Linked DNA regions of Pelodiscus sinensis. The protein of the gene in region 1 purifies or fractionates together with the protein of each later gene. This does not show direct contact. Links are inferred from orthologs where the notes say so. Each region holds a gene or a part of one and is shown in the gene's direction. Other genes may lie near its edges.

The links.
Region 2: the proteins of DHX15 (region 1) and SF3A2 purify together in Homo sapiens (affinity purification with mass spectrometry; 4 studies listed by BioGRID and IntAct, with this or other methods). This does not show direct contact. The link is inferred for Pelodiscus sinensis from reciprocal best matches to the Homo sapiens genes DHX15 and SF3A2.
Region 3: the proteins of DHX15 (region 1) and SF3B6 fractionate together in Homo sapiens (co-fractionation; 3 studies listed by BioGRID and IntAct, with this or other methods). This does not show direct contact. The link is inferred for Pelodiscus sinensis from reciprocal best matches to the Homo sapiens genes DHX15 and SF3B6.
Region 4: the proteins of DHX15 (region 1) and TFIP11 purify together in Homo sapiens (co-immunoprecipitation; 4 studies listed by BioGRID and IntAct, with this or other methods). This does not show direct contact. The link is inferred for Pelodiscus sinensis from reciprocal best matches to the Homo sapiens genes DHX15 and TFIP11.

The regions. Positions count from the first base shown.
Region 1 is NC_134715.1:102,246,358-102,253,613, forward strand, and holds the start of DHX15 (ATP-dependent RNA helicase DHX15), read left to right. Parts: upstream 1-4,158; 5' UTR 4,159-4,362; coding exon 4,363-4,433; intron 4,434-7,256.
Region 2 is NC_134729.1:27,235,299-27,242,867, reverse strand, and holds the start of SF3A2 (splicing factor 3A subunit 2), read left to right. Parts: upstream 1-4,361; 5' UTR 4,362-4,518; intron 4,519-7,569. Other genes in the region: PLEKHJ1 (pleckstrin homology domain-containing family J member 1), read right to left, coding at 185-251, 2,249-2,316, 4,177-4,270. UniProt on the Homo sapiens protein: Component of the 17S U2 SnRNP complex of the spliceosome, a large ribonucleoprotein complex that removes introns from transcribed pre-mRNAs.
Region 3 is NC_134713.1:14,462,355-14,470,528, forward strand, and holds the start of SF3B6 (splicing factor 3B subunit 6), read left to right. Parts: upstream 1-4,923; 5' UTR 4,924-5,054; coding exon 5,055-5,084; intron 5,085-8,174. Other genes in the region: PFN4 (profilin-4), read left to right, coding at 1,896-1,924.
Region 4 is NC_134725.1:39,273,474-39,281,225, reverse strand, and holds the start of TFIP11 (tuftelin-interacting protein 11), read left to right. Parts: upstream 1-4,503; 5' UTR 4,504-4,836; coding exon 4,837-5,168; intron 5,169-5,878; coding exon 5,879-6,032; intron 6,033-6,699; coding exon 6,700-6,856; intron 6,857-7,613; coding exon 7,614-7,741; intron 7,742-7,752. UniProt on the Homo sapiens protein: Involved in pre-mRNA splicing, specifically in spliceosome disassembly during late-stage splicing events. Intron turnover seems to proceed through reactions in two lariat-intron associated complexes termed Intron Large (IL) and Intron Small (IS).

The DNA.
Region 1 (7,256 bases):
AAAGAAATTATAATTGAATTAATTGAATATAAAATGAATGGTGGTAGTGTGATAGCATACCTTTTTGGTATGCTAATAATTAGTTTTGAAATAATGCTTTAAGTAAATAGAAATTAATAACAGAAAATCCAGTTAATGGCATATACAGGCATAATAGCAGGAAGTAGGGGTGGGGTGGGGTGCTGCAGCATCCCCAGGTTTTGTGCCTGATGACCCTGTTGCCACCCCCACACCACTGCTGCCCAGGGTCCTGTCCACCAGGTCCACTGCTGTCCAGAAGCTCCACTGCCACCCTCAAGACCACCTCAACTGCTGTTCCCAGGGGTTCCACTGCCAGCCCTGCATGCAGAGTGGTGAGTGGCGCAGAAAGGAGTAAGAGGAGGGGGAACTCAGCACCTCTACTCCAAAAACTGTATCAGTGTCACTGCCTAAGGGTGCTGTAATATAGTGGGAGATTTCATTTCTAAAAGACATAGGGATCCATTGTTTATGATGTAATAATTCACTTCCTGTGATGTAATGGTAAATTCAACTTTCTCAAGGGAATGACAGGAAGTAGCTCAAGTCATCAATAGAACAGCTAGAAAAACCCCATAAGAATATATGGAAAACCGTAGAAATGTATAAGGATGATGCAAATGGGTGACAAGATTGCATCATTATCAGGTGATGCAATCAAGGCACACTATTGCATCACTTCCTGTGGGGCTGGCTCAGCAAAATCTCATAGAGCAGAACAGTGCTGTACACCTGTCAGAAGATGATTACATAAAAGAAACCAACTAAGAAGCAACATCAGAACCCTGCAAAGAAAGAGTTGCTTGCAAAAAACAACTACTACAAAAGCAGTAGCAGCAATTTGCACCGGACAATGGCTGCTTCTACCACCCAGTCAGCAGAAGGCCCTCATAGTATCCACCAGTGCAGCAACCAAGCAGGCTTCTGTATCTGCTACCAGATAGGCTGATTTACCAGAGGAGCAGACAGGCACCCAATAAAGAGACAACTGCAGAGATTACAGCAGTCTGCAGCCATTGGACAATGCTCTCAAAGTTTGTGACAGAACAGAAGGACCTTTAAATTGTCTCAGAAGGAATCTTAAAAATCCTCTGTAAGATAAAAGCGTTGTCCATTTAACATCCTAAAGCATATGGCCTTCGTTTGTAAATAAAGTGACTGTGGTTTGAGTAAGATCTTTTCCTGTCCATATAATAAATTCCAGGCCAGCACTGACTTGACACTTAGTTTTAATGTTGAATATTTAATTCATATATTGTTACATTGTTATAAGGTAGAGAGCATTAAGTGAAGGTTTATATTGTTGTAAGTTATAGGAGTGAAAGTTTCAGAGGGGCAGCTGAGTTAGTCTTTAACAGGAAATCTTAAAAAACAATGACAAGTCTAGTAGCATCTTAAAGACCAAAAAAGATGACACCTGAAGAAGTGGGTTGTGCCCACAAAAACTCATGATACCATCTACATGTTTCGTTAGAATTGAAAGTGTTATTGTAGCGTGTCTTTATTTGCTGTGCGGCTTCATTCACTTTTTAACTGTAACCCTATTATCTATATCTCTACTCTTATGCTGTAACCACTCATTTCTAAATAAATATTATTCTTGTTTATGATATTCTTCATCAGAATGCTGTATCCATATCCTTGCAAGGGACTGGCTTTTCCTGGAAATTCTTTTAGGGCAGACCACAACCATAATTACTGGAATAGATAAATTAAGGATAAAAGGTTTTTAATTAAAAGCAGTGGTTTTAGGCAAGCTCATTGACTTAATATAATTGGTTTCAAATCTTTTGATAACAGTATGATACTGTGTTCCATTTTGTGCATATGTACAACAAAACGTCTGAGCTCAGCAGTAGAGGTTGTTCATAACTCTGAACAAAACATGATGGTTATTCTTTCAAAAGTTCACAACTGGACTTTGACTTAATACACTTTGAAATTTTACTATGCACAAGAAAAATGCTGCTTTCCCTTTTTTGAATAGCTTACATTTAATACAGTACTGTACTGTATTTGCATTGTGTGTGTGTTTGTCTGATTGCATCCTTCTTGTTCCAAATGAGGTGTGTTATTGACTAGTCAATTTGTAACTCTGGTGTTCCTAACTCCGTGGTTCTGTATTGCATCTCCCAGAGTTGTGGCAAGATGCTTCTCATTGGTCAGTTTTGTCCCATTGTTACTTTGTGCTCCCCCATCTGATTGCTCTTGCTACCTGTTGTTTTTCACCTTATATTTAGACATTGATCCTGGAGACACTAATGAATGTACTCCGCTTTACCATTCTGAGTAGTCCATTTGGATTACTTGCAGATGCACAGGTTTGCAGAATCAAGGAATTAGATAGTAAACTGTTTGGACTGGGACTGCATATTTATTATTTGTTTATTTAGTGCATAGCACAATGGGGTTGGGATATTTAAGTGCTACCACAATGTAAATAAATAATGATAATGCTAAAATGGCCTTTACCAGGTCAAAATTTGGAATAGAGCCATGCCCATATAAGGCTACATTACCATGATTCACGAAATAGATATCCCAATGCTGTGTATAAGTTTAAAGTATTGCCTCAATACTCATTCCTGCCTAGCCACTACAAAGCTCAAAATCCAGTCTCTCCAAATTAAAGCCTAACAGATCTTTGGGACTGCCAAATAAAAAGATGTCTATTATTTGTATTACAGTAGAACCTGGACTTCTGCCCAACTGAGATATGGGTCTGGCTGTTTTACATACTGTAGAAACTGAGAATGTAAAATCCTATTTAATTGGTTAACCGGTTAAATGTGATGTTTAACAGGTTAACTGATTAAAGGAGGAAAGGTTGGGAGGCTGAGACTGGGCTGGAGCAGCCCCTCCCCATCATTGCAGGCTTCAGCCCAGCCAGAGTAGCCCCTGCCTGCAATGCACCCGGGCCCCACTGTGCACAGGAGCTGCTTTGGGCAGCCAGAGCAGCCCTTGTCTTCAAGCGTGCCCTATGGGGCTGTAGCAGCCACCCGCCTGAGGTGAGCGGAGCTTCTTCAGCCCCCACGCATTAACCGGAACCAATAAATCTTTCATATCCCTCATAGATACATGTAGAAGACAATTCCTGTCCTGAAGAACTTATGCTCCAAGGACTTGTCTACTGGAAAAAGTTGTACCAGTACAGTTATGTTGGTATAACTTCCTGTTTGGACATTCTTATTCTGAAAATAAGAGGGCTTTTTGTTTTTGTTTAGCTTAAACAAAAACACGTTATGAGTGTCTGCATGGGAAGTTATAGCTGTATAGTAATAGTGGTTTAAAGTCAAACCATAACTTATGTAGATATTACTTGTTAAAGTCTTAAATAGATGAGACAAGACAACTAATCACAAGAAAGTGGCAGAACCAGGAACTGAATTCTGATCTCACAAGTTTGTCAGTTCCCTTCTGAAACCACCATCCTTCTGGAAGGATTTGTCTTTGTTTTAGGGGGCCTTATAAGATATATTTGTGTTCCTAACTTTTGGGATATGTCTTACTGATACTTTACACTGGGGTAGGTTCTGATGTCTGTCCTGCTCTGACATCAGTTGAAACACTGTGTGTGCACAAACGTACAGTTGCGCTGAGCTAGTGTTGCTGAAGGGCAGGTAGTTATGGCCCCAATCCTACAAAGATTTAAAGTTCCATCATGTGTACAGTTATGATGGACACAGGTAACAAGTCCATTGCGTTAGGTCTTTATGGAGCCAGGCTAAGTCAGCCATTACAGCAAGTCAAAAAGCCATGTCACCAAAGCAATGACACTGAAACAACACAGTCTACTGGAAGGCGCTAAAAGCATGGGGCAACCGAGATGCGTCCCAGGCCTAGTTGTGCTCTTCTAAGCAATCTGCCTGCACCTGGACAGGCTATAGGTGGGCGAGCCATAGTCTCAATCTGGTTCCAACTCAGAGCACCACCTCTCTGGGGTGAGGGGAACTGCTCCTGCTACGGCCCAGGGCAGTGCCCGGGCTGTCCCATCTACAGCACTAGCTCTTTCCGCCTCCGCCCACACCCCCTTTTCCCGCTGGCACCGCCTCACGTTGTGACTCCGGCCCTCTCCCTGGGTGGCAATAGAATTCTAGGGGGCGATCCGCTGGCCGGACCGAGGCGCGCGGGGGAAGGTTCCCAGCCGGGCTCGGCGTGGCTGCACCGCCTCCCCCTCTTCGAAGTGGCTCGCTCAGTGTCTCGCGCGGATCGAGGCTTCCTTCCGGCCGCCATTTTAGTTGCTGTTCTTGGCCTCGCGGCGCTGCCGCCGCTGCTGCTCGAGGAGCGGAGAGCGCGGAGCCGTAGCACCCATCCGCGCCCGGAGTCCCCGCCGCCGCCGGCACCATGTCCAAGCGCCACCGCCTAGACCTGGGGGACGACTACACCTCCAGCAAGAAGCGCGCTACGGCTGACGGGTGAGGGGCGCCGGGGCTAGGGCCCGGGCCTGGCCGCGCGGCCTGGGGGCGGGGGCTGGTCTCTCTCCCTCTTGGAGCGGTTCCTGCCTAATCCGCTTTGTGCCTCGGCGGCAGACTCGCTCCCTGCAGTGCTGGGCCTGGCCGAGGCGCGGGGGGGGGACCGGACCGGCGGGGCTCGGAGCCGGCCGGGCGCGGCACGCAGGCCCCATGGCGAAAGCGCTAGGCAGGCGCGTCTCCTCGTCGCGCTTGTGGGGGGAGGGGCGGCCCAAGAGCCCGGCGGCTTCCTACAGTCTTGGGAGGCTCCGTCCGTCCCGTTTAAAAGCCGGGAGTCCCGGTGCGGGGCGGGGGACGTGGTGGAGGCAGCGGGTACCGGGCGAGCTGCGTGAGAGTGGCAGGGAACCGGCCCCTGTGCCTTTCCGCGCAGGAATCGGAAATCTTGCCGGGGTAGGCTCCGATTAGCAGCCGAGATGTGCCGTGTGTCCGTGCAGTTGGGAACCCCATCGGTTACCCGACTCCTCGGGTCACTGAGCTCCCGCCGCGGCCCCGCATCCCGGGCGAGAATAGTCCCGTGAACCCGACTCCCAGTGCAGCGCTGAGCAGGGACCAGTATTTCTAGTGTTTTTTTTAAAATTCTGACAAGGCCTGAACCAGATCATAGTGTTCGGCCCTACGCCGACCGTCTTCCTTCAGTAAATTAGAGTGATCTCCGCAACTTCTGACTACAGCTTTTCAAGTTGCTGTTTACAGATAACGGTTACGATTGTTGAAGTTGGCGGGGGTGGGGTGAAGGGGGACGGCAAAGGTATTCTTTTGTGTGTGTTCTCTGTCCGCCTCTACATGCATTTTATGCCTAGTGAGTTTCATTGTTCCCCGTGTTATCAATCACTCCTTTGTGTGAGTTTTTCTAGAGGTGGACAGAAAGAGTGGGAAAGCATTTATAAACATAATCTTAAAATCACAAACGCAGGAAGCAATGGTGGGCGACCTAGGGGTGAATTTAATTACTTCTAAATTTATTTTTGTTTTTAACTTGCACTGAAAATTGATGGGGGAGGGGGGCTATGGATATTGAACAACAAAAAATTGAGGGTAATTAAATTAGTTTACCTTTGGGTTGAAGCATTTACATTCTGAAATCAAAAATATAATTCTAAAGATTTTTCTTGTTGGAGTGTGGACAACAGTTAAAGTTAAATGGAATGATTGAAAATGACCACATATTCATGGGAATTGCTGTGCTAGTTCAAATCATTGGTCTGTCTAATCCAGTATTCCATCTGTGAAAGTTAATAATGAAAGCTTCAGAGACAGAGGCAAGAAATGTCAAAGTAAACGTTTACAGAATAGTGCCTTTTCCTTTAGGGAAAATTTCATCCTAGTCGATGTCCATTGGTGACTGGTACATGCTTTAAAGCATGAGGGCTCCTGGTCTTTATTTACGAAAAAAATTACCCTATCTCATGCTGCTGTATGTGGTCTCATTAATAAGTCTGATCCTAGGAGTAGGCTTATTGAAAGCGTTTCATTGTCAAGGGATGTTCTTCTTTCAAACTCTCCCTCCAATCAAATATCTATTTTTAAGTCCTAGCCACTTCTGCAGCATCCCAATGGACTTCCCTTCCCCACAACTGAATACATTGCTTCTAACCCTGAAAACAAATGTCTTTTGAGTTGTAACTAAGTAACTAGGTAGTGTGAAGACATAAGAAGACATCAGTTTCTGTAAAATGTAAGCTTTCATTTAAAATTAGGTTTTAAGCTTTTTTTATATTATGCTCTTATATAAGTACACAGGCTTCAGTCACATAACTCTCATTATGATGGTGTTGGTCAAAAGGATAGCATGAAACAGGTGGTGGATAAAAGAGTTATAATCCAAGGCCCTGAGGCATCTTCTAAAAGCTCATTTTAGGTTTAGTGCATGAATTAAGATAAAATGGAACTAATTTTTGAAACAAACAACCAGAGGCACTAGAGAGGGAGAGTGAGGGTAACGATGACACAAAGTATTGTAGATTTTAGATCTCTTCTAAAAGACAAATTAAACAACATATTAATGGTGTCAGAGATTCTTGCTGGTCACCTCGGGAATCATACAATTAATGGAGGATTAAGATATAGTAAATTAGAGCTTTTGTGGGCCTTTTCTCATAAGAACAAGGATTATTGGCCTTTGCCTGGTTGCACAGCTACTTTTAAAAACAATCTTCATCCTAGAATGTGCAAAAAATAAAGCTACTACATGCTAACTTAAGCTGGTTATAAAAAAAATACAGTGGTACAGGTAGACACTCCTGTACCTAGTCATCTATTTTGTTAAAGGGAGGAATGGCCAGCAGCAGTCTGAGATGCATATAAGATGCTGTGGGGGAAAGTAATTGACCACAAACTCTCTTCAGGAACTCTGCATATTCTTGCAATTCTCCTGAATAATATGAGGCAGCCTGGTACACTGTATGAAGAGTTTGTGTTGCCCCCCAAATTTAAAGGGAGAATAGAAGTGTTCCTGAAGATATGAGTTGGCCTTTCACTTTTAGGTGAGAATATTAGGATTATTTTTGTTGCACCATTTGAAATTTGCAAATTGAAATTCAAAGTAATATGAAGTAGAGGGAATCTTCAGCTTGCAAGTCAAAAAGTCACTAATTATTCTTGGCTTTTTACATATGTAAGTATAACAATTGTTGTTGTAGTTGCTATGTCTGACCACTGAACTGTTTTGAGGCAATTTTATTTGTATCAACAGCATATTGTGGAAATTCCAGAGACGAAGATGAGGGCACTTCTAGTTGAAACAAAGATTTGTAAAAGGCACAGTTTCTA
Region 2 (7,569 bases), on another chromosome or scaffold:
CCCAAGAATTTTTCTTATGCGTCTCCCTTTTCCCATACTGCCCCGCCCCACGTGAGACAGGACACTCCACACAGTATGGTGCAGGATCTGACTCTAGAAACATTCCCCTTGCCCTTCTGCTACTTGACTGAAAAGGGAAACCGAGAGGAGGATACACCCATGAGAATCTTCTCCCACAACTCACTGATCGAAAAGACATTCTCCTCTTCTTTGGTGACTCTGCAGTGCTCCAACAGCAAAGCTCCAATTGGCTAGAAAGAAACCCACAGAGAAGGGTTAAGACACCCCTCCCCTTGTTCAGCCAGTTCTACACATGTGAGACATTGTGGCGGGAAAGGGAACACGGGGACTGACGTGGGGGCCGCAGTGAGTGACTCGTGAAAGAGAGAGACAACAGTGCCAAGAGGCTAGAGCAGAAACGACATTCCCTAAGCTATTTGAGTTCTTGTGCACTATCTTGCTAGTCACAGCTCTTTCACTGGTTCCCATGTATTGTTTGCTACAGTGGGTCTTTCACGGCAGCTCAAGAAGACAAAAATATTTTTAATGATAGGAAGATCCTGATAAGCCACAAACTACCAGGGGACGGACTTTAGGGCAGACGTCATAACCTGGCGAGAACTGAGAGGGTTGAAAACAGAGCGGTTTTTAGGTAGCCAATTTCTTTGTCTCTGCTGTCATACTTCACTGTACAAATATTTTGTGTTGATTAGTATTTACACAGTGCTTTGGACATCTGTATTTGCTCAGTACAACTCTGGAGAGTTAATAAATAGCTCAGTGATCTGCACAAAAAGAGGCAAAGGTGGTAAAAGTTCTCTAGAATCTAGTCTGCACATCAAGTTTGGCTGGAAGGCACAGCACAAACAGAAATCCAAACTTAGGTCTGGAAAAGAACATGCTTGAAGCTTTGCAGAAGTCTAATGAAATCTGTCCCTGCATTCGGTTTTTTTAAAACAGTTCATTTTAAACAAACAAATTTCACCTGCAGAATTTGCGAGTCATTTATGGGTGCACTGAGCTAAGGCATGAAAACCAGAGAAAGGGTTCTTTTCTTTGTCCGAAATGAACTGCAAGAGACAAACAAATAGAATAGAGACCACAGACTTTTTTTAAGAACAACTCAGTGTTAAGAGGTGTTATTTGACTAAGTATCCCGTCAGCACATACTATTCTAAGCTTCCAAACTATTTTTGGACCACTTACTGCTAAACACAAAGGGAAATATTTTATAGTCTCTAACTGCCAGGAAAATTAGCCAAAACAGCCAAACTCGTGTAAGCAGGAGTGGAGAGAAATCTGCTACTGGGAATGGTCTCTAGTCTCATGCGGTCAAAGCTCTAACATGATTTCATAATCACCCCAAAGAGACTGTGAAGTGTGGCATCTTCTTGGCCAGATCCTATGATCATGACTGTCAGAGGAGACAAGGAGGAGAGAAGAAATATTCTGCAAAGGGAGTGCAAGGATCCTTAGGGTCACATGTATTTCTGATCACTACAAACACCACCGAAAGCACCTTCTCTTCAAGTCTGTTAAATGGCGTAGCCACAGCAGTACCATGCCATGCTCATCCTGCATCTTCTGTCCAATCACAGTGCAAGTGAGTTTTATTGTTAAGGATGAGAAACAAAGGCCAAGACAGATCAAAAGTCTTTTCTGGAACCAGTGGGCTCCAGCTCGCATTCCTCTGCTACAACAACCAGACAATACGCTTGCATACTTATAGGTCCAAGTAAGGAATATTGATAAAATACAGCGATTACAATGCTTTGGGGGTTTTTTTTTACACTGCCAGATCTTGCTCAAAAGCAATGATACAGTTATTATTTACTGAGATTTAGCTAGGGCCTTAGTCTAAATTTAAAATCAATCTCACTAGTTTCACATAAATGAATTGCAGCCATGCGTGTAAGTGTGGCAATGATTAGGTTTCAGAGATCACCCCTAGACTGATAGCCAGGGCTGGGCAGGACAGCAGTTGCTTCTCAGCGTCGCCAAGCAGAGGCTTCATTGTGTTCCTCAAACACCACTAGCTAAACAGTGCAGTGTGACTACTTCACCGGTAAGTGTTTCAGGGCATGGACCATCTACGATTCTGTGATAGTACAGAGCTTAGCACAACGGCAGTCTGCTCTTGGTTGGTTTTTAGGCCCTTTGGTATAGAACCTGCCTTATTAATATGTTTTTCTACAACAGCTCTAACAAGTTCATAAAGCCAGTTTGCAGAAGCAAGTTATTTTTATACCTCTCCTTCATCTATGCGGAAGTAGAAGAGAAAGTTGACAACTAGCTTCACTAGGCGTTTCTTCAGCACTGCAAAGAAGAGAGACAGCATTCAGAAGCGGAGGTCTGTGGCAGTGTTCCCTGTTAGCTGAGTGCTTTGGAGTGATTCATACTCCGCCCAGCTGCTTAGCAGAGCATCCAGAGCTGTCAGCTTGGCTCTATCTACACTGGCGCGTTCTTATGCAAAAACTCTTCCAGAAGAGAGCGTCTACACTGGCATGTGCTTTTGCACAAGAGCATCCATGCCAGTGTAGATGCTCTCTTCCGCACGAAAGCTCTGAGAGCCATTTTAACTATAGGGCTTTCTTGCCCAGGAAATTCATGTTGCCTGTCTACACTGGCCTCTTCTGGAAGAGCTCTTGCGCAAGAGGGCTTATTCCTGAGCAGGAGCGTCAGAGTTCTGGCGCAAGCAGCCCTGATTTTATACATTAGAACATCAGTTTATTTGCGTAAGAACACGTGACCACTGTAGATAGGCAGCAAGTTTTTACGCAAGATCGTGCCTGTGTAGCCACAGCCCTTGTGTCTCGGCCTGGTAGTGCACATTGGTACATGCTTTGCTGCATACAAAATTTATTTTGCTTAAGGATAGAAAATATTAGAGGGAACATTCAGCTGTAGGATGGAAAACTGGACCTGTCGCACAAAGGAAGGTGCAGGCACCTTTCATTCTTACTGGTTCATAGCACTATGATTCTAGGCTGAACAGCAATTTGATGACCTCTCAAGCAACTCAATTCTATCCTAGGTGTGCCAGCCTTGGCTAAGCTTTCACTGATGACCTATAAAACTTTAACCACACATGCTTCTTGTAGCACCTCCTGGCTGGTACGATCCCAATGCAAATTCACAGGTATCCACATCCCTGAATATGGCTGCCGCTATCCATGTCTTGTTTTTGTGGATAGAAAGCTGCTTCAAACCCTGCAAGGTGGCAGCTCTCTGCGGCCGCAGCTGTGGTTGCAGATCTCCCACCATCTTTTTGCCAATACAGATACCAATTTTATATCTGCGTAGGGGTCTACCAGTGCATTGTACATGCCATCCCCCACCACAGGAAGGCAGCCACTTTGCGGACAAAGGGTGGTAGCTCAGTGCCATACACCACCTCACCAGCGCTGGGGAGGAGAATGCAGGAGTGGAGCTACCGCCTCTTTGAGAAAGTGCCAACGTGGTCCCTGCTCATCCCACAGGGAAGGGGACAGGGCAGGGAGCTCAACAGAGGCAGGACAAAGAGCCAGATTGAAGTTGGGGGGGGGGGGGGAATGGGGAAGGTGTGGGAGTAGCTGGCTCCTGAGTGGAAGAAGCTGAGCCTCATGCCCCACAATAGAACCCTCCCCCGGCCCTCCTGAGTGCCTGTACACCCCACCCCCACTCTATCCCCATACACCCTGCCCCACCCTAGCTCCTCCCACATATGCCCCGCCCCTGCCCCACCCCCACTCTATCCCCATACACCCTGCCCCACCCTAGCTCCTCCCACATATGCCCCACCCTAGCTCCTCCCACATATGCCCCGCCCCTGCCCCACCCTAGCTCCTCCCACATATGCCCCGCCCCTGCCCCACCCCCTCTCTATCCCCATACGCCCCGCCCCCGATCCACCCTAGCTCCTCCCACATATGCCCCGCCCCTCCCCCACCCCCACTCTATCCCCATACGCCCCGCCCCCGACCCACCCTAGCTCCTCCCACATATGCCCCGCCCCTCCCCCACCCCATACACCCGACCCACCCCGGCCCCATTCTATCCCCATACATCCTGCCCCCCCCACACGCTCCGACCCCTCCCCTCTCCAGTCCCACAAATACGCCCCGCCCCCTCCCCTCACACACCCCGCCTCCAGCCCCGCCCCCTGCCCTCATACGCCCCGCCCCCGCCGCCCCTCACCGCTGCCCTTCTTGGGCACGCGCATGAGAATCTCCGCCGCCTTCTCGGCCGGCTGCCGGGCCAGGGCCAGCAGCTCGCGCTCGTTGTAGCGCATGGCGAGGCCCCGCCCCCGCGCGCCCCTACAGCCGCCGCATCCCGCCGCGCGCGAGCCGCCAACCGCCGCTCCCCGCCCCCAACGCGGAAGCGCCCGGCCCGGAAGCCTTTCGTCGCGCGTGACCCTCCCATCCGGCGAACCGGAAATGCTTGGCCGCGCGGAAGCCGGAAGCGCCTCCTCCGCCCTGAGAGAGAGTTGCGCGTGCGCAGTCGCGGGCCGGCCTGAGGGGAGCCGCGAGCGCTGGTGAGGTGCGTGGCCGGGGGTGCCTTAGGCCTTGCTGGGTCGGAGTGGGGCTCCAGGCCTTGCTGGGCCGGAGGGGGGGTTGGAGTGGGGAGGAGGGCTCCAGGCCTTGCTGGGCCGGGGGCAGTTGGACTGGGGGGGGGGGCTCCAGGCCTTGCTGGGCCGGGGGGGGGGGGGGGGCTCCAGGCCTTGCTGGGCTCAGGTGGCGGGGTCAGGGGGGCTCTGAGGTTTCTTGCGGGGCGGGGATTATTCTGAGGGGCCGACGAGCCTGCAGTGCTGTGACAGCAGAGCCCAGTCCTGTGTTGGGGCTTAAGGACAGTAGAGTGTTAGTGCAAAGCTTGTTCCCTCATTGAACTGGAGAGGTGCCTGGGGTTTGGCAGAGTTTGGTTGTTCCGCAAGCAGGGCTCCGCAGGTGTCTGTTTTGGGACCGATTCTGTTACATGCCTTCGTCAACGATTTAGATATTGGCATAGCCAGGACGCTTATTATGTTTGCAGATGATACCAAGCTGGGAGGGGTTTCAGCTGCTTTGGAGGACAGGGTCATAACTGAAAATGATCTGGACGAACTAGAGAAATGGTCTGAGGAAAACGGGATGAAGTTGAATTAGGACAAATGCAAAGTGCTCCATTAGGAAGGAACAATCAGTTTCATACATGCAGAATGGGAAGCAACTGTTTAAGGATTAGTACTGCAGAAAGGAATCTAAGGGTCATAGTGGACAACAAGTTAAACATGAGTCAAAGTGTGACACTTGCAAAAAAAAACAAAAACAAACAAACATGAACAGGAGTGTTGAGAGCAAGACACAAGAATCATTCTTCCACTCTACTCTGCGCTGATTAGGCCTCAACTGGAGTATTGTGTCCAGTTCTGGGCACCGCATTTCAAGAAAGATGTGGAGAAATTGGAGAAGGTCCGGAGAAGAGCAAGAAAAATGATTAAAGGTCTAGAACATACAAGCTACGAGGGAAGATTGAAAGAATTAGGCTTGTTTAGTTTGGAAAAGGGAAGACTGAGAGGGGACATGATAGCAGTTTTCAGGTATCTAAAAGGGTGTTACAAGGAGGAGGAAGAAAAATTGTTCTCCTTGGCCTCTGAGGATAGGACAAGAAGCAATGGGCTTAAACTGCAGCAAGGGCGGTTTAGGTTGGACATAAGGAAAAACTTTCTACCTGTCAGGCTGGTTAAACACTGGAATAAATTGCCTGGGGAGGTTGTGGAATCTCCATCTCTGAAGATATTTAAGAGCAGGTTAGACAAACACCTGTTAGGGATGATCTAGATAGTGATTGGTCCTGCACTGAGGGCAGGAGACTGGACTTGATGAAGTCTTTTGAAGTCTCTTCCAGTTCTAGGATTCTATATGAGGTCACGTTAGCGTCTGACTTTCAGAGAGAATCAGCATCCCTTCCCCACGCCCACAGCAGCCTCTGCCCCCAGTCCAGCCTCTGTCTTGAAAATGCCACTCAGGACTTGTGACTGTTCTCCGAAGCATGAGGTAGCACCTGATGCAGCTTCCAGACATGGCTTCCGGGAACAGATCTGAGCATCCCACGTAGAGGCAGTGCCATGTTTTGAAAATCCTAGATAGCTCTGTGCTTTTAACATGTCTGTGGCCACTTACACAGCTCGAAAATAAGCATCTTCATTGGTGCAATGTGAACAGTAAACTGCTATTAGTTATGACTGTTACGTTATAGTGCAGTTGTTCCCTGAGGCCCCTCTCACAACCAGTGCTTTGGCCCTTCAAGCAGCACCTCTGTACAGACACTTCTGAAGACGTGGTTTCTGCCCAACTTGCTTATAGTTGATGTCCGGTATTTTTCTGTTTATTATGATTATTAATTAATTCTTATATCATTTGTTGTTTTTTGTATAAAATATTTTACGAGGCAGTTCAAGATACAGAACTTACAGCAAATAATTGGTGACTTGTATTGGGTAAATGAAAGGTTAACCAGTAAGCATCACTGGGGTGAAGTGTAGCATCTTACTTTTTCCAGGTGGATCACCCGTCTGCAGCGGACCCAGGGAGTGCCACAGGCAAGGGCTGTGTTAGCCCAGCCAGAGAAGCCCCTGCCTGCATTGGGGTGCTGTTCCAGCCCGCTGCACTCCCTTTATGTGCTTATCCAGTTAAACATAATGTTTAACTGGTTAACCAATTAAATGGGATTTTACATCCCTAATTTATAATTGAATTTCAAATGGCGTTACCTGTCCAACTTCTACAACATAGATCTGGACCATAGACGTGCCCACTAATTGACTGTTAACTTTCAAATATTGTTACCTCAATTGTGAGTGTATTAAATATCCCAGGCAAAAATGCATAATCTTGTAATAGAGAAAAATATGTGAAAGTAGCCAGGAAAATGAAATCACCTGTGAAACTGCCAAAGGCCGTGGTCAAACCATTGTGTTCGGTACGGTAGTGCTGTTTCTGTGAAAGTGCTGAATGTGATCCTGTATCCCTGCCTCTGCATAGTAACCAGTGTGCTTCTTGTGAGACTCGGTCTATTGCCATGAGAGATAGGATGCTGGCTACAGAAGAAATTAGGGCACAAAACTTGGGGGGTGGGTCAGGTGAGAGATGCCCAGTTAGCATATATTTGGAAATTTGGTAGCAGGAGAATTGATTACTACCTTATTCAAAATCTGCTCTGGAATCTATACTTTGAAGATGACAGAAGAGAAAGTGACTCTGTTGAATTTCAACACTTAACTGCTTCCATTAGGCCATCTCTACAATCAGTTTGCTAATGAGTGACATAGAGCAACCTTTAAATCAGCAAAAACTACGAGGACTCCTGTGGTACCTTAAAGATGCCTCATGGTTTTTGCTAAACAGACTAACATGGCTACCCTTCTGAAACTTGAAAACAGTGGCTCTCAACCTTCCAGACTATTGTATCTCTTTCAGGAATCTGATTTATCCTGCAAACCCCCACCTTCACTTCACTTAAAGTTACTTATAAAATCAAATATAAAAAATGCAAATGTCACAATATATTATTAAAAATTGTTTACTTTCTCACTTTTACCATTTAAAATCAGTC
Region 3 (8,174 bases), on another chromosome or scaffold:
TTTGAAATAAGATATTTTGAAATAACTATTTCGAAATAAGGTATTTCGAAATAACACTGTAGTGTAGACATACCACTAAACATGTCTTATTTTGATGTAGCTATTTCGGAATAGGCTTTATTCCTCGTAGAATGAGGTTTACAGATTTTGGAATAAGCCATCTGTTATTTCAAAATTATTTCGAAATAGCAGAATGGCTGTGTGGAATTTTGAAATAACGCTAGATATCTCGAAATAACGGTGCAGTGTAGATGTACCCTATGTCATCTTAACCCAGAGTTAGTCTAGATGACACAGCGTTACATACAGAAGCCCTATCTCCACTAACTCTCCGACCACTGCTACCTCAGATAGAAGGGCAGAGATGGGAGATTTCTCCAAAAATGCCAGTTTATACAATCTTTGGAGCCTGCTCCTGTAAACATTTGCATACATGAGTAAATTTCTCACAAGCAGTCACATTGGCTTTAATGGGACTAGTGACCTGAGTGAAGTCACATGTCTAAGGCCTAGTCAACACTAGAAAATTAGGTCAATAAAACTTCATTCAACCCTAATTAAGCCAAACTAAGTCTCTGTAGACAGTGTTATGTTGACAGGAGAATTCTTCTATCAGTCTAGCTACTGTTTCTCCAGAATATGGATTACTAATGCCAATGGGAGACTCCCTCCCAGAATCCCATCAGCATAGGTAACGTCTACACTGAAACACTACAGTGGCTCAGCTATGATGCTGTAATATTTTAATGAAGCCAAGCCCACAGAGTATGCTTGTTTTGCAATCATAGCTGTGATTGCAGCTGGAGTAGATATATCAAGTGGCAACAATGTGTGCTTCAGGATGGGCTGTACAAACTTGCCCAGAACCATGGATAACTACTCGCAGACTTCTGTGCTGAAACCTGAATTGCTACAGCTTCACTTCTAGCTAAATTAAAGCTAGTACATCCAGGTGTGTCCCCTCAAGCTATAGTCACATCTGAGATTGCAGTGTAGACTTAGCTTGTGTTTGCTAGGTCAGATTCTTAGGCTATGTCTACACAGCAACATTATTTCAAAATAACTAACATTATTTCGAAATAACATAGTCTGCGTCTACACAGCTAGAAGTTATTTCAATATAATGTCAAAATACTGTCAAGCTGGAGGACTTCTTACTCCAACTCCTGTAACCCTCATTTTATAAGGAGTAAGAGAAGTCAGAGGAAGAATGCTCTATTTTGAAATAAGTGCTTATAGACAGTACCAGAACTTGAAATAAGCTATTTTGAAATAAGCTATGCAATTGATGTCACTCATTTTGTGTATCTTATTTCAAATTAAACCCTGCTGTGTAGACACACCCTTAGGGATTTGGCGGCCGAGGGTGGGGATTGGCCTGCCCTTTTGTTATTATGTTTAATCTTTTCCTCCAGAGAAAACAAAGTAGCATTATGTAATTCCAGGAGAGATTTCTGCATATGATTATCTTTAAAGTTTTTGCAGTTCGCTGATCTGAAGGAGCAGTATTTAGGGTTCTTAAGGCCACAAACTTATATAATAAAGATTCTGTTTATTTCAAATGACACACTGAAGCTATATTTGGAGTTGCTAATACTCAATAACTATAGGTATTCCAATATTTTATGTATTCAGATGCAAATGCTAATATGTGAGCTAGATTATGATGCCTTTCATTCAATTATAGTACATTCCAGTATTGTATTCTGGAAAGAACGAACTCTGAAAAGGATGTGGAGGTTATAGTAAACAAGTAACTTAACATCAGCTCCCAGTGTCATGCTGGGGCAAAAAAGGGCTAATGTGATTCTTGTGGCAATTGTATGTCTTTAAACTGGAGCATTTCCATTATTGTAAATATTTTAAAAGAAAATGTTTTGTTTTTCCCCCCATAGCGGAATATTTCAGAGATAAGGAAAACTGAATCTGAAAACAACTTAAAATTGATCAAGCTTATGAAGACTGGTGCGTTAGAAGACCAGTTTGTAATGAAGTACATCTAAGCAAGCAAAACAATATCCATTATTCTGCAATATTCTAAGCTTTTTTGATTTCTCTAAAAGCTTTACTGTTGCCTTTCATTAAATATTCCATTTCTTCTAATGCCTGCTCAGGGTATTCAGTGCCCCTGTACATGTAAAAATGAAATAATTTATACCTGCAAGACAGAGGGAATGGTACCTTGGCACCCCTGAGTCTTTTGGCTTCTTCCCTTCTTTGACCATCTGTACTCTGAAACTGTTACCTCTTAGATAGTCCCGGAGGGAGGGACTTCCAACACTCCAGTCATCTGAAGAAGTGGGTTGTGCCCATGAAAGGTCATGATACTATGTACATGTTTTGTTAATCTTTAAGTTGCTACTAGACTATTTGTTTGTTTGTTTTAATTTTTCCTGTTACAGACTAACTTGGCTACCCCTCTGAAGCTTTAGGATGCATAAGGATCTTGTGCAAAATGGGGGGGTTTGTGCCAAAAAAAACCCCATCCACACTTGCTTCTTTTTGTGCAAAAAGCCCTTGTGCAAAAAGAAAGGGCAGAAAATATGCTAATGAGATTGTGACTTATGCTAATGAGTCCCTCATTAGCACATTTTCTGCCGGAAGAACTCACAGTGAAGACGTAGCCATCAAGTAAGCTCCCTTTATCAATGAAAGAGAGATAAGCACAGTGGTTGTTCTCTCCAGGTAACAATTATATACACTGGGCCAGATAGTAAACAAAAGTTGTTTATTAAGTATAAAGAGTAGGATTTAAATGGTGCAAGTGAAAACAGCCAGATCAAAGTAAGGTACTACATTTAAATGAAAAGATATAGCTAGTTCTAATTCACCAAGAAACTTATTGCACGTACACTCTTACCCTAAAGAGATGCTCTTATTTTAGGCATAATCTTCAAGTCAATGACAAATTCTTTTTCTCATACTTGGGTCCCCAGCCCTTTTTTGGGGAGTGCCAGGCAGTAGACAAAAGGGAATTGCTTCCCATTTCTTAAATTGACTTTTCCTCAGGGTATCCACTCTTCCCATGGAAAAAATCCAGGTTCAGAATGGATTTCCAGTACCAGGTGTCAAGGTTACAGGTCTTTCTAGTCCAACCGCCTTTGCACTTACAGGACAAGCCAGGCTTTTTACAAACCATTGAGTTGATCACTAGTCATTAGGCTTCCAGGGCACTAGAAACAGCTCTCATTAGCACATATAAAACTATAAATAGACTCACACTTCATATTTCTAAGTTCACATACAAGAATGATGCGTGTACCAATTTAGGATATACAGATCCAGCAGAGTATAACATTAAAATTGATAGATTAAATGATGTATTTTGTGGAGAGTAATGGCAGCAAGCGGCAGCACTGAGAAGAAAATCCTGGAGGGGAGGGAAGTGTATAAATCAAGAGGAGTTTAGTTTCCTTGATGTCAATCAACAACAGCAGCTAGGACAAAACTTCTAACCCAGTTCAGAAAGGGTTGAATGTTGGGAAGTTAGTTAGAAGTGAACTGAAGTAAGATACACATTTCTCTAGTCTCAGACTGGCATGTATGGTTCTTTATGCTGTTTTGAACAGTGCTGTGGTAAGAACTGATGGGTTATCATACTTACACAAAACCTAAGATGGATTAAACAAAAGACAGAACTATGTAGCACTTTAAAGACTAACAAGATGGTTTATTAGGTGATGAGCTTTCGTGGGCCAAACCCACTTCCTCAGATCAATATGTGGAAGAAAATCGGCACAACCATATATACCAAAGTGATACAATCAAAAAAATGAACGCATGTGAAATTGACAAATCAAATTTTAGAATAGAGTGAGGGTGAGGGGGGAAGGTTAGTTTCTGTGAGGTAATGACATAAGGGTGATAATTGGGGAAGCTATCTTTGTAATGGGTGAGATAATTAGAGTCTTTGTTTAAACCCATACATAAAGTGTCAACTTTAAGCATGAAAGACAATTCTGAAGCTTCTCATTGAAGTCTGGAGTTAAAGTCTCTTTGAAGCACTATGCATGTTTTAAGGTTATTAAAGGAATGATCAGTCTGGCTGAAATGGCAAGCAACAGCTTTCTCTCTGTGAGAGAGTCTTATGTCTGTTTTGTGTGCATTGATTCTTTGGCGAAGTGTCTGAGCCGTCTGTCCAATGTACATAGCAGACAGACACTTTAGGCACATGATGGCATAAATTATATTTCTGAATGAACAGGAATATGTGTTCTTGATCTTGTAACTGGCATGGTTAGGCATGATCTTGTAACTGGCATGCCCTAAGTGCAATGTGCGATCAACGCCCCTGGCTGCACGGCCGTCAATGGAGTGATATCATCGGGCACCCCGTTGAAGGGGGCGCCCTAGGTGACGGCCGAGTCGGCCTATAATCACGGGTCACCCCTGGGGAGGAACCATGGGGTGGAATGGCACGAGTGGGTCAGGTGTTGGGGGGGAGGAGCACTGGAGGAGGGTACGATGGGGAGGGGGGCACTAGTGAGCTGGGTAGGAGCAGTGAGGGGAAGCCAGGAGGAGTGGGCCGCACGTCTCCAGGCTAGGGCGCTGTTGCTAAGGGCGCTTGCAGGCCGAGCCAGCACAGGCGGTGCCGAGCGAACTAGCAGCGCTTAGCGCGGCTGCAGAGGGAGCACGCGGCTCCCCCCTCGCGTGGCCTGGCTTTGCGCGGGGTCACTTCCGTAACGCCCGGAGGAAAAAACTGCCCGGGCCGCATCGGCCTCCCTGCGCGTGGACGCGGGAAACACGCGCGGACCCCGCCCCCGCAGGTTGCCCCGCCCCCGTTCTAACTAACGGCACCGCCACTGGGGGAGCGGCCTCTGCAGGAGGCAGTTATCATCGCCCCGCAAACGGCAAAGTCACATGACTCCCCTCGTCACTTCCCGCCCCCAACTGTCAGGTTTGTTTCCTCTCATCCGGTTAGCACTCGTCACTTCCTGCGCGCGGGCTGAGCCCGCGGTGCAGGCTGGGATAGCATCCGGGCCTGCCCCCCCTGTTGGAGACGGACGCGTCCGTTGTTTCCCGGCTAGGCGAAGGCCCCCGACCCGCCCGGCACCATGGCGATGCAAGCGGCTAAGCGCGCCAACGTGAGTGGGGGGCGGGGGGGGAAGTGTCGCTGACCTGTCCGGCGCCCAGACCGTCTCCCTCCGCGGTTCGGCCCCGCGCGGATCAGCTCCGACCGGGGGCGGCGGAGGGGCCGGGTTCGTGGCGCCGCGGCGGGGCGATTTGTTCCGGGCGTGACTCGCCCGTGCAGCGCCTCGTGCAGCCTAACCCGGGGCCGCCACAGCACTTCCGCCGCCTGCGGGGCCCTTCGACCTAGTCCGACTTGCCCGTCACGGCCCTTCGGGTCTCCCCCAGTTACCCTCCTATCGCGACACTGCGGGGGAGAGCACAGCACTAGCTAGCGGAGAGGTGCTGCTCGGGCACAGAGGCAGAGACTTTAAATGACCCCTCGAAAGCCCCAAGTCAGAGCCTCCAGACTGGACATTTTGCCAGAGAAATTTTGGAGCAGGTCAGTGGAAATGAGCAAAGGGTCGAAAAAGATCCCAAATTGCGCTCGTTGACTTGAGCACCATCTGTTTAGCCTTAATAAAGGCAAAGTGAAGGGGTGATTTAAGCCACAGAGTGTAAGCACCCCGAAGGGGAACAAATATTTGATACTAGGCTCTTTAGTGTAACAAGCAAAGGGAAACCAACTATACAACCATTGGCTCTTAAACTTGCCAAATTTGGGGCTGTGCTGCCCTAGAAGCGTTATAGTGGTGCAGCTGCACCAAAGCAGCATTTTTAGTGAATAGGCTCTGTGCGACTAGGAGAGAGCTTTCCCATTGACATCATTACCCCACCTTCTTGAAAAGTAAGTAGCTGTGTTGGTGGGAGGGCACTTCTTGCCAACAGTGCTGTGTTGGTGTAATTGGTCTCTCTTGGGGGTGGCTTTTTCACTCCCCTGAACAACATAAAAATATATCAACACAAGCAGTAGTGTAGACCTGCCCTCAGACTTGAATGCTGGAATAGTGTAGCACAGATTGTGATGGCTTCTCCATGGGTACATCTACCCTGCAGGGCTTAATTTGAAATAAGCTATGCAAATTGAGCAATTTATTTCAAAATAGGGAGCATCTACACAGCACTTATTTCAAAATAGAGCACACTTCCTCCAATTTCCCTTATTCCTCTTACAAGGAGGGTTACTGGAGTTGGAGTAAGAAGTCCTCCTCCAGCTTTACAGTATTTTGACACTATTTTGAAATTACTGCCTACTGTGTAGATGCAGACTAAGTTATTTTGGAATAGAGCTAGTTATTTCAAAATAGTGTTGCAGTGTAGACGTACCCCATCAGTAGCCATTTTAAAATTAAGACTGGATAGTTTCCTAGAAGGTATGCTCTAGTTCAGATAGGACTTAATGGGGACATTCTATGAGCTGTGTTTTGTGGGAGGTCAGATTAGATTATCATAGTAGTCCCTTGTGACTCCAGTCTCTGTTAATCTACGTATACTTCTAGACCATAGGGTCTCAAAATGTAGTCTGTGATCAGAGGCACCAAATTCCCCAGTTTCCATGGTGGGCTCAATCCCCACTGTGCCCCAATCCTCCTCCCCCACTCCACCTCTTCCTGCAAGTCCCCAGCTCTTCCTGCCCCATCCCTCCTCTGAGTGCACCCCTCCTGCTCCTCACCCCCCTCCCCAGCACCTCATACACACCACTGAACAGATTTTGGAGGATGGGAAGGGGAGGAACACCCACTTTTTTCTTGAGTGGGTGATCTGGGGGCTGGGATTGGTGCCTATGTCTGTAGTCCACAAAGAGCTGGCTGGTCACCATGTGCTACTCTCCTGGTTTCCAGCTATTAAATTACATTAAAATAGAACTACAAGTACAGGCAGTCCCCGGGTTACGTACAAGATAGGGACTATAGGTTTGTTCTTAAGTTGAATCTGAATGTAAGTCGGAACTGGCGTCCAGATTCAGCCGCTGCTGAAACTGATCAGTTTCAACAGTGGCTGAATCTGGACGCCAGTTCTGACTTACATACAGATTCAACTTAAGAACCCCAGGCATCCCCAAGTCAGCCGCTGCTGAAACTGACCAGCAGCTGATTCCAGGAAGCCCCGGGCAGGGGCTTCCTGTAGTCAGCCACTGGTCAGTTTCAGCAGCGGCTGACTTGGGGACGCCTGGGGCAGAGCAGCTGGGGTGCTGCTGGGTTGGTCCAGTAGCGCCGCCGCGTGACCAACCCAGCAGCACCCAAGCTGCTCTGCCCCAGGTGTCCTGATTCAGCCACTGCTGAAACTGACCAGCAGTGTCTGAATCAGGACGCCTGGGGCAGAGCAGCTGGGGTGCTGCTGGGTTGGTCCCGTAGTGCCCAGAGCGGCGCTACGGGACCAACCGGCAGCGCCCCAGCTGCTGTACCACAGGCGTCCGTAGCAAAGCCGCGGAGCACGGGGGCAGCGGGACAGCCCAGATGCGCCGTGGCTGTCCTGCTGCCCTCGGGCTCCGCGGCTTTGCTCTGCTTTGCTCCCCGTCCCCCTGGTCTGCAGACCAGGGGGATGGGGAGCAAAGTGGCAGAACACGCGGGCAGCGGTCAGCCCAGACGCATCTGGGCTGTCCGCTGCCCGCGTGCTCCGGGGCTTTGCTCTGTTTTGCTCCCCGTCCCCCTGGTCTGCGTCTGCAGACCAGGGGGATGGGGAGCAAAGTGGCAGAACACGCGGGCAGCGGTCAGCCCAGACGCATCTGGGCTGTCCGCCGCCCGCGTGCTCCGCGGCTGTGCTCTGCTTTGCTCCCCGTCCCCCTGCCAGGGGGAGCGGGAGCAAAGCAGAGCAAAGCGGCGGAAGACGCGGGCGGCGGGCAGCCCAGACGCGTCTGGGCTGCCCGCTGCCCGCGTCTTCCGCCGCTTTGCTCCCCGTCCCCCTGGTCTGCAGACCAGGGGGACAGGGAGCAAAGCAGAGTAAAGCCCCAGAGCACGCGGGCAGTGGACAGCCCAGACGCATCTGGGCTGCCCGCGTGTTCCGCCGCTTTGCTTCCTCTCCCTGGTCGGATCCGCGTAACTCGGGGACTGCCTGTACTTCATATTCTTTCCTAATTTTTTTCCATGCAATCAGAGTGCTCTAGTTGTTACTTGAATGTTGTGTTACAAAAGGATCTGTGAGACAGAAGGTGAATGGAACTGGTATGT
Region 4 (7,752 bases), on another chromosome or scaffold:
CCGGCCAAACCCCCCCCCCCGTGTCAGCGCCTCGCGCCGGCCGAACCCCCCCCCCGTGTCAGCGCCTCGCGCCGGCCGAACTCCCCCCCCCGTGTCAGCGCCTCGCGCCGGCCGAACCCCCCCCCCCGTGTCAGCGCCTCGCGCCCCCCCCGTGTCACCGCCTCGCGCCGGCCCAACCCCCCCCCCGTGTCAGCGCCTCGCGCCGGCCGAACCCCCCCCCGTGTCAGCGCCTCGCGCCGGCCGAACCCCCCCCGTGTAAGCGCCTCGCGCCGGCCGAACCCCCCCCCCCCCGTGTCAGCGCCTCGCGCCGGCCGAACCCCCCCCCCCCGTGTCAGCGCCTCGCGCCGGCCGAACCCCCCCCCCCCGTGTCAGCGCCTCGCGCCGGCCGAACCCCCCCCCGTGTAAGCGCCTCGCGCCGGCCAAACCCCCCCCCCGTGTCAGCGCCTCGCGCCGGCCGAACCCCCCCCCCGTGTCAGCGCCTCGCGCCGGCCGAACCCCCCCCCCCCCGTGTCAGCGCCTCGCGCCGGCCGAACCCCCCCCCCCGTGTCAGCGCCTCGCGCCGGCCGAACTCCCCCCCCCCGTGTCAGCGCCTCGCGCCGGCCGAACCCCCCCCCCCCGTGTCAGCGCCTCGCGCCGGCCGAACCCCCCCCCCCGTGTCACCGCCTCGCGCCGGCCGAACCCCCCCCCCCGTGTCACCGCCTCGCGCCGGCCGAACCCCCCCCCCCGTGTCAGCGCCTCGCGCCGGCCGAACCCCCCCCCCGTGTCAGCGCCTCGCGCCGGCCCAACCCCCCCCCGTGTCAGCGCCTCGCGCCGGCCGAACCCCCCCCCCGTGTCACCGCCTCGCGCCGGCCGAACCCCCCCCCCCCGTGTCACCGCCTCGCGCCGGCCGAACCCCCCCCCCGTGTCAGCGCCTCGCGCCGGCCGAACCCCCCCCCCGTGTCAGCGCCTCGCGCCGGCCCAACCCCCCCCCCGTGTCAGCGCCTCGCGCCGGCCCAACCCCCCCCCCGTGTCACTGCCTCGCGCCGGCCGAACCCCCCCCCCGTATCACCGCCTCGCGCCGGCCCAACCCCCCCCCCGTATCACCGCCTCGCGCCGGCCGAGCCCCCCCCGTGTCACCGCCTCGCGCCGGCCGAACCCCCCCCCCGTGTCACCGCCTCGCGCCGGCCGAACCCCCCCCCGTGTCACCGCCTCGCGCCGGCCGAACCCCCCCCGTGTCACCGCCTCGCGCCGGCCGAACCCCCCCCCCGTGTCACCGCCTCGCGCCGGCCGAACCCCCCCCCCCCGTGTCACCGCCTCGCGCCGGCCGAACCCCCCCCCCGTGTCACCGCCTCGCGCCGGCCCAACCCCCCCGTGTCAGCGCCTCGCGCCGGCCCAACCCCCCCCCCGTGTCACCGCCTCGCGCCGGCCCAACCCCCCCCCGTGACACCGCCTCGCGCCGGCCCAACCCCCCCCCGTGTCACCGCCTCGCGCCGGCCCAACCCCCCCCGTGTCACCGCCTCGCGCCGGCCCAACCCCCCCCCCGTGTCACCGCCTCGCGCCGGCCCAACCCCCCCCCCGTGTCACCGCCTCGCGCCGGCCCAACCCCCCCCCCGTGTCAGCGCCTCGCGCCGGCCGAACCCCCCCCCGTGTCAGCGCCTCGCGCCGGCCGAACCCCCCCCCGTGTCAGCGCCTCGCGCCGGCCGAACCCCCCCCCCGTGTCAGCGCCTCGCGCCGGCCGAACCCCCCCCCGTGTCAGCGCCTCGCGCCGGCCCAACCCCCCCCCCGTGTCAGCGCCTCGCGCCGGCCCAACCCCCCCCCCCGTGTCACCGCCTCGCGCCGGCCAAACCCCCCCCCCCGTGTCACCGCCTCGCGCCGGCCAAACCCCCCCCGTGTCACCGCCTCGCGCCGGCCGAACCCCCCCCCCCGTGTCACCGCCTCGCGCCGGCCGAACCCCCCCCCCGTATCACTGCCTCGCGCCGGCCGAACCCCCCCCCGTGTCACCGCCTCGCGCCGGCCGAACCTCCCCCGTGTCACCGCCTCGCGCCGGCCGAACCCCCCCCCCCGTGTCACCGCCTCGCGCCGGCCGAACCCCCCCCGTGTCACCGCCTCGCGCCGGCCGAACCCCCCCCCGTGTCACCGCCTCGCGCCGGCCGAACCCCCCCCACCGTATCACCGCCTCGCGCCGGCCGAACCCCCCCCCCGTGTCACCGCCTCGCGCCGGCCGAACCCCCCCCCCGTGTCACCGCCTCGCGCCGGCCGAACCCCCCCCCGTGTCACCGCCTCGCGCCGGCCCAACCCCCCCGTGTCAGCGCCTCGCGCCGGCCCAACCCCCCCCCCGTGTCACCGCCTCGCGCCGGCCCAACCCCCCCCCGTGACACCGCCTCGCGCCGTCCTAACCCCCCCCCGTGTCACCGCCTCGCGCCGGCCCAACCCCCCCCCGTGTCACCCGCCTCGCGCCGGCCCAACCCCCCCCCCCCCGTGTCACCGCCTCGCGCCGGCCCAACCCCCCCCCCCGTGTCACCGCCTCGCGCCGGCCCAACCCCCCCCCCCGTGTCAGCGCCTCGCGCCGGCCGAACCCCCCCCCGTGTCAGCGCCTCGCGCCGGCCGAACCCCCCCCCCGTGTCAGCGCCTCGCGCCGGCCGAACCCCCCCCCCGTGTCAGCGCCTCGCGCCGGCCGAACCCCCCCCCGTGTCAGCGCCTCGCGCCGGCCGAACCCCCCCCCCCCGTGTCAGCGCCTCGCGCCGGCCGAACCCCCCCCCGTGTCAGCGCCTCGCGCCGGCCGAACCCCCCCCCCCCGTGTCAGCGCCTCGCGCCGGCCGAACCCCCCCCCCGTGTGAGCGCCTCGCGCCGGCCGAACTCCCCCCCCCCGTGTCAGCGCCTCGCGCCGGCCGAACCCCCCCCCCGTGTCACCGCCTCGCGCCGGCCGAACCCCCCCCCCGTGTCACCGCCTCGCGCCGGCCGAACCCCCCCCCCGTGTCAGCGCCTCGCGCCGGCCGAAACCCCCCCCCCGTGTCAGCGCCTCGCGCCGGCCGAACCCCCCCCCCCGTGTCAGCGCCTCGCGCCGGCCGAACCCCCCCCCCCCGTGTCAGCGCCTCGCGCCGGCCCAACCCCCCCCCCGTGTCACCGCCTCGCGCCGGCCAAACCCCCCCCCGTGTCACTGCCTCGCGCCGGCCAAACCCCCCCCGTGTCACCGCCTCGCGCCGGCCGAACCCCCCCCCGTGTCACTGCCTCGCGCCGGCCGAACCCCCCCCCCGTATCACTGCCTCGCGCCGGCCGAACCCCCCCCCGTGTCACCGCCTCGCGCCGGCCGAACCCCCCCCCCCGTGTCACCGCCTCGCGCCGGCCGAACCCCCCCCCCCGTGTCACCGCCTCGCGCCGGCCGAACCCCCCCCCCCGGTGTCACCCGCCTCGCGCCGGCCGAACCCCCCCCCCCCGTGTCACCGCCTCGCGCCGGCCGAACCCCCCCCCCGTGTCACCGCCTCGCGCCGGCCGAACCCCCCCCCCGTGTCACCGCCTCGCGCCGGCCGAACCCCCCCCCCGTGTCAGTGCCTCGCGCCGGCCGAACCCCCCCCCCGTGTCACCGCCTCGCGCCGGCCGAACCCCCCCCCGTGTCACCGCCTCGCGCCGGCCCAACCCCCCCGTGTCAGCGCCTCGCGCCGGCCCAACCCCCCCCCCGTGTCAGCGCCTCGCGCCGTCCTAACCCCCCCCCCGTGTCACCGCCTCGCGCCGGCCCAACCCCCCCCCGTGTCACCGCCTCGCGCCGGCCCAACCCCCCCCCGTGTCACCGCCTCGCGCCGGCCCAACCCCCCCCCCCGTGTCAGCGCCTCGCGCCGGCCAAACCCCCCCCCCCGTGTCAGCGCCTCGCGCCGGCCAAACCCCCCCCGTGTCAGCGCCTCGCGCCGGCCAAACCCCCCCCGTGTCAGCGCCTCGCGCCGGCCAAACCCCCCCCCCCCGTGTCAGCGCCTCGCGCCGGCCAAACCCCCCCCCCCCCGTGTCAGCGCCTCGCGCCGGCCAAACCCCCACCCCCCGTGTCACCGCCTCACGCCGGCCAAACCCCCCCCCCGTGTCACCGCCTCGCGCCGGCCTAACCTCCCCCCCCGTGTCACCGCCTCGCGCCGGCCGAACCCCCCCCCGTGTCACCGCCTCGCGCCGGCCCAACCCCCCCCCGTGTCACCGCCTCGCGCCGGCCGAACCCCCCCCCCGTGTCACCGCCTCGCGCCGGCCGAACCCCCCCCCCCCGTGTCACCGCCTCGCGCCGGCCGAACCCCCCCCCCCCCCGTGTCACCGCCTCGCGCCGGCCGAACCCCCCCCCCCCCGTGTCAGCGCCTCGCGCCGGCCCAACCCCCCCCCCCGTGTCACCGCCTCGCGCCGGCCCAACATCCCCCCCCCCCGTGTCAGCACCTCGCGGCGGCCGAACCCCGCCCCCCCGTGTCAGCGCCTCGCGCCCCCCCCGTGTCAGCGCCTCACGCCGGCCGAACCCCCCCTCGTGTCAGCCCCTCGCGCCGGCCGAACCCCCCCCCCCTTTCTCCATGTCACTGCCTTGTACCGTATGATTTCTCCACCCCAGTGTCACCTCCTTGCTTTGTCCAAGCTTCCTCCCTCCAGGTCACCAGCTAAGTACTCTTCACCCTGTTTTGGGCTTGCACTCACTGATTCATCCCCCCCACCATTCTTCCTGTCACTGCCTTATGCCAGCTGAGACCTCTCCCTCTCTCTCTCCCTCCCCCCATTTTGCTGCCTTGCCCTGGTGTGTCATGGCTGCCTGTGCTTTGTCTCACTTGCTCCTGTGTGCTACTGGCTGTGCCATGTCATCCCCTTCACACCTTGGTCCTTGTGTCACCCACCACCTCACTAGCCATGCCTCCTGCTCTCCTTACCTTCACACCCATCCCATGTCACCCTCTTGCACTGTCTATGCCCCCTACTTTTGTTGCCAGCCCTCTCTGGATCCACCCCCTGACCAGCTGCTTGCTCCAACTCTCCCAGGCCATCATGTCAATGTCCCATCTCTATGGCAAAGATGACGACGACGACGTGGAGATGGAGAACTTTGAAATCACAGACTGGGACCTGCAGAATGAGTTCAACCCCAACCGCCAGCGCCACTGGCAGACAAAGGAGGAGGCCACCTATGGCGTGTGGGCTGAGCATGACTCGGATGATGAGAGGCCCAGCTTTGGAGGCAAACGGTACAGGCAGTTACCAGTGTCTTGCAAACTCTGGCAGTACTGTGAACAGCAAGAATCTTCTGTTAGTGGTTAGCATAGCCGATAAGCTAAAATAATAGTCCAAAGGAGATATCAGTTCCTTTATGTAGCACTATTGGATTTTTCACTTTCTGGAGGTTTTCTTTTCTCTGTCCATTTGCAAAGAACTACTGGGGAGATGCCTTTATACATTCTATAGAATATTTGATTATGTAAGTTTTTCTGACACTAACTCAGTCACTTGATGTATAGTGCTAGCTTCAAAAGGCTTAGTCTCTTGGAAACACTTTGTGCTACTGTGGCCAATTTGAGATTGTAATGGCTTTGAAAGGTATCTGTGGGAGCAGTGAGGGGTTACTATTTAGTTCAGCATGTTATCAAATAGATTGAATTTTTCATGTATAGTTTGGTTCCGAGATTCATTTCCTTATTGCCAAGTTCATGAAGAAGATCAACATTGTGCTAAGTTACAACTCATTAGAGAGTCTTGCATGCACATGCAAAACCAACACTTTCTATGACTGAAATACAAAAGTTTGAATTTAACAGCTTTTAAATGTTATTTCTTAACATTGCGTTTATTTTGGGACCAGTAATGATTGCATTAAGGTGTCTGAGTGTATGCATTTCAAGTTCAAATTCAATGGAACAGTGGAACAATAGCATGACTCTGAAATCCCTTTTTTGTGTAGCTCTCGTGACTATTCCGCCCCCGTTAACTTCATCAGTGCGGGGCTAAGGAAAGCTGCAGCTGAGGAAGTGATAGAAGAAGATTCAGATGAAGATGAGAAGCCCATTAAGCAAGAAGAACTCCCTAAAGAGTTTGTACCAAAGAAGTTAAAAACAGTGAGTTACTCATGAAAGTTTGAAACTTATAACAATTATTTATGGAGTGCCAACCACAGTATGGTCTAGATACTGCTTTAGTAACACATCAGCTGAGAAGGGAGGACAGTGGCTGAGTAAGATCACAGAACTGTTTGTGACACTGGTTTGCCGTGGGGGGAAAGAATATCCCTTGGCTTTTCTTTATGTGTTTTCATGGATTGTGTTAGGTTCTCGGGAGCTCATCTTTTCCCCAGGCCTCTTAAGCCTCTTCTCTTCATTGATAATCATTTTGAGTTGAATGAAGTTGAAGTAAATTAATGACCCAGTTTTGCTTCCACCCATCAATGATAAATATTTTTGTAATTATTTCTTTTTACAGTACTGAATGTGGCTGGCATGAGCAAATTGCCAATTAAATGGATTAAGAATCAAAACCCATTTTTCAACTGTTGAAAAGCAAAATATCAGGAACCAACTTGTATCTGCTCATGATAGTGTGTTATAGATCAGACCATAATAGGAGCAGGGCTACAAATCCCCAACTCTAGCAGTGGCTTGGGGGTGCTCTGACAGAGCAGCGCAGACTGCAGGCTGGTGGGGCTCCTCAGAGGAGATCCCCTCTTGAGGCAGCCAGGAGCTTGGTGATTATATCACTTACCTGTTGTTTTTTCTTTTCTCTGAACAGGGTGGCAATTTCAAACCCAGCCAGAAAGGATTTGTAGGTGGGACCAAATCTTTCATGGACTTTGGCAGCTGGGAGAGACACACCAAAGGAATAGGGCAGAAGCTTCTTCAGAAAATGGGTTATGTTCCTGGTAGAGGGCTTGGAAAGAATGCTCAAGGTACTGTGTGTTTTCCCCAAGAGTGTGGGTCCAAGATGGGGATTCTTTAAGGAAACTGCAACCTTGAGACACTGAATAACTTGGTTTTGTTTTCCCACCTCTTCTTCAGCCAATTCAGATCTTCAAGATTAAATCCAATTATATTAGTTTTAAATAATTACAGCAGTAATTAGAATGAAATTGTGAAGTCTACTACCCATGTCAGTCTCTGATTATTTAGTATGAGGAGACAGAAGGAGGAAGATTAAATTAACTCACTGTCAGGGTGGTTAAATACTGGATTAAATTTCTTACGGAGGTTGTGGAATCTCCATCACCAAAGGTATTTAAGAGTAGGATAAATAGGCATCTGTCAGGGACAATTTAGATGGTGTTTGGTCCTGTCATGAGGGCAGGGGACTGGATTTTATAACCTCTTGAGATCCATTCCAATTTTAGCATTCTATGATTAAAAGACAGTCAACTTGTAACCAAAGGAAATGCTATTTTGTGCAGTGTATTGCTGAGCTATAGAATTCATTGGAGTCGGAGGTCAGAGGAACATGCTATAACAGGATTTTTAAAAGTACCTGAATATATTAGGGCCACATATAAAAATGTGTAACTGTACAAAATCCTATCACTGCTGAAGACAGAATGCCAGACTGGATGATCTGTGCTACTCAGAAATCTCTCTTTTTCCTCCAGAAACCTATCCACAGCTTTTCTTAGTCAAATGTTTAGAGTCCCCTTCACTAACTATTCTAAAATTCCCTAGGTATCATCAATCCCATTGAGGCCAAGCAAAGGAAAGGCAAAGGAGCCCTGGGAGCATATGGCTCTGAACGAACCACTCAGTCCTTGCAGGATTTCCCTGTTGTTGACTCTGAGGAAGAAGCGGAAGAGGTATGACTCTT